Oryctolagus cuniculus: one gene and its partner. The protein of the gene in region 1 purifies or fractionates together with the protein of each later gene. This does not show direct contact. Links are inferred from orthologs where the notes say so. Each region holds a gene or a part of one and is shown in the gene's direction. Other genes may lie near its edges. The genes, in order: SEC13 and NUP160.

What was found.
Region 2: the proteins of SEC13 (region 1) and NUP160 purify together in Homo sapiens (affinity purification with mass spectrometry; 4 studies listed by BioGRID and IntAct, counting the BioPlex papers as one, with this or other methods). This does not show direct contact. The link is inferred for Oryctolagus cuniculus from reciprocal best matches to the Homo sapiens genes SEC13 and NUP160.

What each region holds. Positions count from the first base shown.
Region 1 is NC_091441.1:116,544,700-116,549,294, forward strand, and holds the start of SEC13 (protein SEC13 homolog), read left to right. Parts: upstream 1-1,639; 5' UTR 1,640-1,896; coding exon 1,897-1,899; intron 1,900-4,595. UniProt on the Homo sapiens protein: Functions as a component of the nuclear pore complex (NPC) and the COPII coat. At the endoplasmic reticulum, SEC13 is involved in the biogenesis of COPII-coated vesicles.
Region 2 is NC_091432.1:18,177,170-18,180,972, forward strand, and holds part of NUP160 (nuclear pore complex protein Nup160), read left to right. Parts: intron 1-749; coding exon 750-960; intron 961-1,266; coding exon 1,267-1,489; intron 1,490-3,050; coding exon 3,051-3,129; intron 3,130-3,803. UniProt on the Homo sapiens protein: Functions as a component of the nuclear pore complex (NPC). Involved in poly(A)+ RNA transport.

The sequences.
Region 1 (4,595 bases):
CGCCCTCCTGGTGTTCAGAGACGGAGACGCTGGTGGGGGCGAAGCCTCCTCTCGTCCTGCAGTGCGGTGCTCCCCTCCCGGGCGTGCCTCCGGCCTTGCCACACTTGCTAACTCTGGTGTGCACGGACTTGACAGCGGAGTGGCGAGGGCGCAGCGGGGGGGCTCTGGGGCCGGCGGGGCTGGGGAGAGACTGTGCTCTTACTGTACACTCTGTTTCTATGTATCTCTGGCTGTGCCCTTTGTAACCACTGGGATTTGTCTGCCTTTTCTACACTAAGCAATAGCAATAAACGCACGCGCGGAGGCGCAGACTCGCGCACAGCCCACGCCTCTTTCCGCCCCACCCCACCCCGCCCTGCAGGTTGGGAGTCCACCTGGCACTTTGGCCTGCCTGCCTCCCCGCCCCACGTCACACCTTTGAACACCCACCTCTGGGGGCTTAACCGGCCTTGAGGCCTGGCTGAGCTTCTCAGAGAGGAAGACTGGGGGGAGGAAGGAGGAGAAAGAGGAGGAGACTTGGGGGCAGTGGGGCTGGGAGGGGGAAGCCCAGCTGGAGGGGACAGAATGGCCTGCTTTGGGGTCTGGGACTGAGCAGAGGGAGATGCCACTGTGGGTGGCATCCCCTGCCCGGGAGGGGGCCCATCCAACCCCAGACCCGGTTCCACAGCCAAGGTTCCTTTGACCCCAACGTCAACTTTCAGAGGGGATTTTACGGGTTGGGCGTCCCCACTCCGAAAACCCAAGATCAGAAACGCTCCAGGGCCCAAAACATTTCCGGTGCCACCGCGATGCCACCGCGGAAAATGCCACACCGTGAAACTGACGCAGAGAATTAATAAAACTGCTCTATAAAATGACCCCCAGGTTACGGGCTCACCCTTGGGTCCCGTCTGCAAAGCACCCTTATATGTGTGCAAATATTCCAAAATCCAGACACACTTCTGGCCCCAGCACTGCAGACAAGGGGTGTGCAAGAGGTGTCACGGGTCCCACTTATGGGCGAGCAGCGCAGACGGTGGCCGGGGGAAGCCAGGAGTGCGCACAGCACCCAGGCCGGCCCCCCGCTGTCTCCGAGCCGGCCTCGCCATGCTAAACCACCCCACCGAGCCCTTCCATCCCACCGGCAGGTGTTCTGGCTGCCAAGGTGCAGGTCTGTTGCCTGTGCCACCCTACCTATGGGCACCAAGAAATTCCTTTAGTTCCAGTTAGGCCCCGTGTCCCCCTTTGCCACAAAGTCAGGCTCAGAGAGAGGCAACTCGACCTGATGGCCAGGGCAGGCCGGGGGGGTGGGGGACAGCTGCAGGTGCACAGACAGGGCTGACCCCTTAAAGAACGGGAGACCCCACAGGTCCTCCGGGTCTGTTTCCTGCTCCAGCCTGGGTACAACCACAAGCCGGGGGCGGGGAGGGGGGCTGCCCGAGGTTGCCCGGGTCAAGGCATTGCGGGAGCCCCCCACCACCATGTCCAGCTGGGGCTCTCACAGAGGACACGGAGGCACTGCGACCCTCCCGAGGGTCGGCTACGCCCGATGGACGCCCGGGGCCCCAGGGGGTCAGGAAGGGGCAGTGGGGAGTCTCTGCAGTCACCTGGCTTCATGCAAGGTGGGCCGGAGGAGTGACCAGTGAGCATCACCCCGTCGGCCACCTCACGGCAGCCAGAGTCCGCCCTCCCTCGCGATCGCCACGGCTATCAGAGCCACGCCCCCCAGGGGCGGGGCCCCGGGAGAGGGCGATACGGAATGCCCGGAACCTTCGTGCGGGGCGAGCGTGTTGCTGCCCGGAAGCAGCGGAGCCCGGCCCGGCGCGGCGCCTTCACCCGGCGCCGGAAGTGAGCTGCTGGAGGCGCCGCCGGGAGCTGCCACGTCCGAGGCCCGGGTCCGCCGCAGCCGCCGCAGCCATGGTGAGTCTGGGGGCCGCGTTCGGGCCGGTGTCGCGGCCGTCTTGGGTTCCTGGACTCGGCCCGCGTGCTGGGGCTGCTCAGCTCCTCGGCACCGCTTCGAGCCGCGGGGACCCCGGGCCTGGGCCCCGCGGGCCCTCGGGAGGGGCGGCGCGGGACCTCCTGGAACTCTGCGGGCCGCGCCTCGCTGCTGCCCTCGGCTCCCCGCAGCCGCTGGAAACCAAAGCCGAAACAGCACAGGCGCCAGCGTGTGCCGGGCCCGTGGTTCCGGGCGTGTCGGCGGTCAGCCTGCCCTGCCGGGCCGGTGCGCGAGCTGCGGTTTGTGGGGACGCTGGAGGTGAGCCACCGGCCGCCAGTCCGCGCAGGTGCACGCGGAGTGGGCCTCCGGGGTGGTGGGCGCTTCGCGAATCCACTGCGAGAGTGGCCTGGACGTGGGCCGTGCACCGCTGCTTTCCTGGGGGCATCAGCCGGGAGCGGGATGGGCAGTGGAGCAGCCGGGACTCGAACCGGCGCGCATGTGGGACGCCCACGCCGCGGGCCCCTAGTGAAGGGGCTGGGTGCTGAGTTACCCTGAGTAGCGTCGGGAACTCGTAGTGACGTTCAGCTGTGGGCGGCTCCAGGTGTCGGGGTCGCCGCTAAAGCACCCACGGTTGGCGCGCTGGCGGTCTCTGGTGCTTTGCTAACCTAGGATGCGGCTACCTCTCGGGACTCCCTCCTCCGCTCACCCGGCGGCCGTGGTGGGTGCTGGGGAGGTGAGGAAGGGGCGCTCCCTGCCGGACCTGCAGCCAGCTCTGGCCTCCGCGGCGTTCTCGGTGGCGTCTGCGGTTCCTGGGTTTGCCAGCGTCCACCCACGCGGCCCCTGGAGCCTCTCAGTGCCCCGGTGACCGCCCCGCGGGGCCCACGCTGGGAGCCCAGGGTGGGCGGAGGGACCCGGCGGGCTCCGCATGGCCCCCGTTCTACTGCCCTGCTGCCGCCCTGCTCGCGGCTTCGTTCCACGCCTCCGGGGGCTTGTGCGTTCTTTTCCTCAGCTTCGTAGACAGATAAAAAGCCGGGAAACAACTTGCAAAGAGGCAGAAACTTTTATTAGTAAAGAAACTTTGATTGACAAGCGACCAAGCGAGCGCCTGGTCCCACAGGAGAGCAGGCGGAGCCCGCGAGCCCACCGGGCTTGCAGGAAGTGTCCGGGTTGCCGGCTGTTCCTGGGTCATTCTGGGGGGCGCCGGTGGACGGGGGTTTCACATCGGCTTGGGGCTCGTGTCTCCTTAGGGGCTCGGCCCCCTCCTCTGCTAGCTCTGGGTGAGAGACTGCAGCGAACTCGACGCTTGGTTTAGAGCCACGAAGTCACACAAGATAGCGGGGTCCCCTGGAGCCGGTCTGTCTCCCCTGGGGCACAGCCCCTTCCCTGCCAGCTCTGGGTGAGACTGCACCCACCCTGGGGTGTGGTTTAAGGCCGCGCGGAAGCTGTCAGTGGGGAGATGCCGGTCGGTCGGCAGGCAGGCTTTGCAGCCACAGCGGGCAGCCTGCTTGGGATGGACGGCCTACCTATGCCCGAGGGCCCCCATGCCCCTGGCCCAGGGCACGGCCTCAGACTTCATGCCTGAGCTCTCGGGCTGAGCAAGCCAAGAAACCCTCCCTAGCCAGCACGTCCTCCTCGGTCCCCTCTGCTGTGCAGGAGTTTGAGGGAAGAGCGGTTGGGCCAAGGAAGCGCCCCCTGCCCGTTAGTGTGCACTGTTCACTCCCCACGCGGTTGCCCCTGCCTTCTGTTGACAAAGCGCTGTGCTTGGGGATTTTCGGGATTCAAGAGGGCAGGTGACAGGCGGGCGCTGTGGCATAGCCGGAAGAGCCACCACCTGTGGTGCCAGCATCCCATTTGGGCACTGGTTCAAGTCCCAGCTGCTCCACTTTTTTTATTTTTGAGATTTATTTATTTTACTTGAAAGTCACAGTTACACAGAGAGAGGAGCGGCAGAGAGAGAGAGAGAGAGGTCTTCCATCTGCTGGTTCACTCCCCAGATGGCTGCAACGGCTGGAGCTGCTCGGATTAGAAACCAGGAGCCTCTTCTGGGTCTCCCATGTGGGTGCAGGGGCCCAAGCACTTGGGCCATCTTCTGCTACCCCAGGCCATAGCAGAGAGCTGGATCGGAAGCAGAGTAGCCTGGTCTCAAACCCACACCCATATGGGACGCCGGCACCGCAGGCAGCGGCTTCACCCGCTATGCCACAGCGCCGGCCCCAGCTGCTCCACTTCCAATCCAGCTCTCTGCTGTGGCCTGGGAAAGCAGTGGAGGATGGCCCAGGTCCTTGGGCCCCTGCACCTGTGTTGGAAAACCAGGAGGAAGCTCCTGGCTCCTGGCTTCGGATGGGCCCAGCTCTTGCCATGGTGGTCAGTTAGGGAGTGAACCAGCAGATGGAAGACCTCTCTCTCTTTCTCTGCCTCTCCTCTCTCTGTGTAGCTCTGATTTTCAAATAAATAAATAAAGCTTTAAAAAAAAAAAAAGTGCAGATGACTCAGACCGTGGCTCCAGGGGGCTCCCCGTCTGGTGGGGTGCGGACCATGGTGCTGAGGGTGCAGCATGCGCCAGCCAGCTGGGCATCTGAAATTGCAGCTGGACCTCAGGACAGGTAGGAGGGGGCCGGCCATGGCAGAGGTGGCCCAGCCCTCCCGGCTCTGCAGCCTTGGAGGCCGCAAGTGGCAGGCG
Region 2 (3,803 bases), on another chromosome or scaffold:
ACTAAAGGTGACAGTTGCCAGGGCAGGGGCTGAGCTTCAGTAAGAGCAGGATTCACAGTGAGACGCTTATCTTGTAAGAGCTCTTCTGCCGGGACTCAAGGGAATAGTGCCCAAGAAAGAAGGAAACATCTTTCCTACTTGAAAAAAGTTAATTAAATGGAACGAAGGAAATGAAGGAAATTTGAGATGGTGAAGCTTGGAAGGACTTTATAATCAGAACAATTTTAATAAAACAAGACCATTTGAGAGAAGCAGAAGAGATAAACTAGGAGCTAGAAGGAAAATAAACTAGTTGATTAAAAATTTTAATCTTAATTTTTGCCATAAGAAAAAGTCCCTTTCATCATTCTGGAGTAGATGGGATTGCAGCAAAAGGTAGAAAAATCTGAGTTGACAGTGGCTCATGTCATTTGGGGGTGGTGTTGTAGCACAGCTGGTTAAGTGACCACCTGCAATGCAGGCATCCAGTGGCGGAGCACTGATGCAAGTGCCGGCTGCTCTTGCTTCTGATGCACCTGGAAAGCAGCCCAAATATATTACATTGAGTAATACTCCAAATAAATGGACTGTCAGGTTTGGAAATACTTCCCTTTAACAGAATCATTTGACTGTTGTTATGCTGTGTTTTGTAACTACATAATATGGCGATGTAGAATATGAACGTGATCTGAGTTTGCATATCTAAAATTTTCAAATTCGGAGTGTTCACTTGGGCAGTTTTTTTTAAACAAATGCCTCTCTCTTAACAGGAAGACCTCTGGAGATACATTGGAGCTGGTGGAGGAGTCATTGGACATAAATCTGTTGAATAATGCAGTTCGTCTCAAATTCCAAAATTGCAGTGTCCTGCCTGGAGGGGTCTATGTCTCTGAGACTCAGAATCATGTGGTAGTCTTGATACTAACCAATCAAACAGTGCACAGGTTACTCTTCCCGCACCCTTCCCGGATGTACAGAAGTGTAAGTTGGTTCAGTGTAATATCTTTTATTTCCCAGATTACTCTGGCTGTCCCAGATTTAGTGCTCGAGCAATATCCTTTGGAACAGAAGGAAATGTGGGTTGCTTGTTAGCCCTCACCGACCATACTTTGATAGTTGCTATTCAAAATGACCAGACACATTTTAAGTTGAAGAAATAGTTTTCATTTTTAAAAAAATGTTTTTCTTCTTAAGCTCAATATTTTCTTCCTTTAAAAACATTTTCTTAACAGAGAGCAACATGAGTGATTTTGATCTAACAGATTTTTCTTTCTAATTGCTCCGCAGGAGTTGGTAATTGAAAGTCAGATGCAGTCAGTGTTCACTGACATTGGCAAAGTTGACTTCAGGGATCCTTGCAACTATCAGTTAATCCCAACGGTTCCTGGGCCAGCTCCTAATTCTGCCGCCTCAGCAGCCTGGCTTAGCAGTGATGGAGAGGCTCTGTTTGCACTGCCGTCTGCTTCTGGGGGCATCTTTGTTCTTAAACTACCTCCTTATGACATGCCTGGTAAGAATGGGAACTAAGCATGATTCCACTTTGAACAAGGACTGTTGCCATTTAAACAGACTTTTCAAGTTCTGCCCACGGTCCAGTGCACGCAGGTGCTTCTGTAGTATCCCTAAATTGTTCCTTCATCGCTAATTGCGCTAATGAATCTCTAATGCTTTCTTTTGTGTGTGTGTGTGTGTGTGTGTGTATGTGTGTGTGTGTTTTGACAGGCAGAGTGGACAGTGAGAGAGAGAGAGAGACAGAGAGAAAGGTCTTCCTTTTGCCGTTGGTTCACCCTCCAGTGGCCGCCATGGCTGGCGCGCTGCAGCCGGTGTACCGCGCTGATCTGAAGCCAGGAGCCAGGTACTTATCCTGGTCTCCCATGGGGTGCAGGGCCCAAGCACTTGGGCCATCCTCCACTGCACTCCTGGGCCACAGCAGAGAGCTGGCCTGGAAGAGGGGCAACCAGGACAGAATCCGGCGCCCCGGCTGGGACTAGAACCCGGTGTGCCGGCGCTGCTAGGTGGAGGATTAGCCTATTGAGCCACAGCGCCGGCCTCTTTTGTGTTTTAAGAGAGCAAGATTTTATGTCATAAAGTAGCTTATTTGATGTCCTTTAGTGTAGGTGAGTTGACTAGTTGTCTACCATCAGATTGAGGTGTTGTAATTAAATTAATTGAAATAAGTTTGACTGCTGAGACCCCACTCCAAGTCATCACTAGCTCCTGCCTGAATTCTTGCTTTATAGTTTCCTATATATCTCCTTGTACCTGTCCTTAACCCCCCTCAGCAACTTGTCAGGCAGACTGGGAGATTTAAAACCCAAGTTGGGTCCTGTCTGCGTTGCTCAAAGCTATCAGATGACGGTTGTTCTTCATCTCACTCTGAAAAACTCCAGCGTCCTTCCAGTGGCTTCCAGTGAGTTCCCCACTGCTGCCTCGAGTGTCTTTCTCTGCACCTGCTACATGCCCTCTTGCAATGCCTTGAACAAGCCAATGACATTCCTACCTCAGGGCCTTTGCCTGGGATAGCCAGTGCTAGCTTAAGACTTCAAGCAGTGTCACTTCAGAGAGACTTTCCCTGACTACCCTTTTCAAAATTGTAAGCACTTAACCACCACACACCGACACACCCAAACATTTTCTAGACTCCATTCCTGTTTTATTTTCTCCACTTATTATCAAGCTACCTAATTTGTCTCTGCCATGAGGACAGGGGTTGTGTGTTTTATTATTGTTATTTTGTTCACAGCTCTGTCTCCAACACCTAAAACTACTTGGCACATGAAAGATACCCAGTGATTATTTTGGAAAGCATGAAGCTGATTCTGTTTAGTGGCATTATGGGTTACTCCCTATAAATGAGAAATTTTCTCTGGGATTCTAAAAATAGTATTTTTATTGATCCAGTCGTGATTCAGAATATTATAGATGTGATGTATAGGTAAGGTACATCATACAAGTGTTAGCATAGAAATATAGAAGCCCATCACCTTATAAACACCTTGTTTATGGTTCCATCACTCTCGCCTTCGGTTCTCTCTGAGTCTGCTCATGAGGTGTCTTGGGTATCATTGCAGGGATGGCGTCCGTTGTGGAACTGAAACAGAGTTCAGTAATGCAGCGATTGCTTATCGGCTGGATGCCAACAGCTATCAGGTGAGTGGTATCTGACAGCTCGGGCGGGGTTCCCCATTTAGTCTTTCTGCCCTGGTCAGCATCAGTTAGTGCTTCCAGTTTTATTCCAAGGGAAACACTCTAACGGGAAAGAGAAGTCTGCATAACATCATGTCCCACCTGAGGAAAACCTCCCTTCAGAGTCTACTTCATTTGCCATTAGACACCTTGCAGAAGCTGGCTTCATGTTTATTCTCATGATGTGCACTTTGGCGCTCTGCCCTGACTTAATCAAATCTGCTTTTGAGCAAAATCATTAAAAATAGAAAGTTTTTGATGATTAGAATACAAAAAGGAATAGTATACAGTTGTTAGACAGTCTTAATTTTTTTTTTAAGTTAATTTATTTGAAAGGCAGAGTTACAGAGAGGCAGAGAGAGAGAAGTCTTCCATCCGCTGGTTCACCCCCCAGATGGCCACAACGGCTAGAGCTGTGCTGATCCAAAGCCAGGAGCTTCTTCTAGGTCTCCCACACTGATGCAGGGGCCCAAGCACTTGGGTCATCTTCTGCTTTCTCAGCCCATAGCAGAGAGCTGGATCAGAAGTGGAGCAGCTGGGACTTGAACCGGCACCGTTATGGGATGCCAGCACTGCAGGCGGCAGCTTTACCTGCTACGAGTTATCTCTACAAGTTATCTTGTATCTTTTGAATTGAA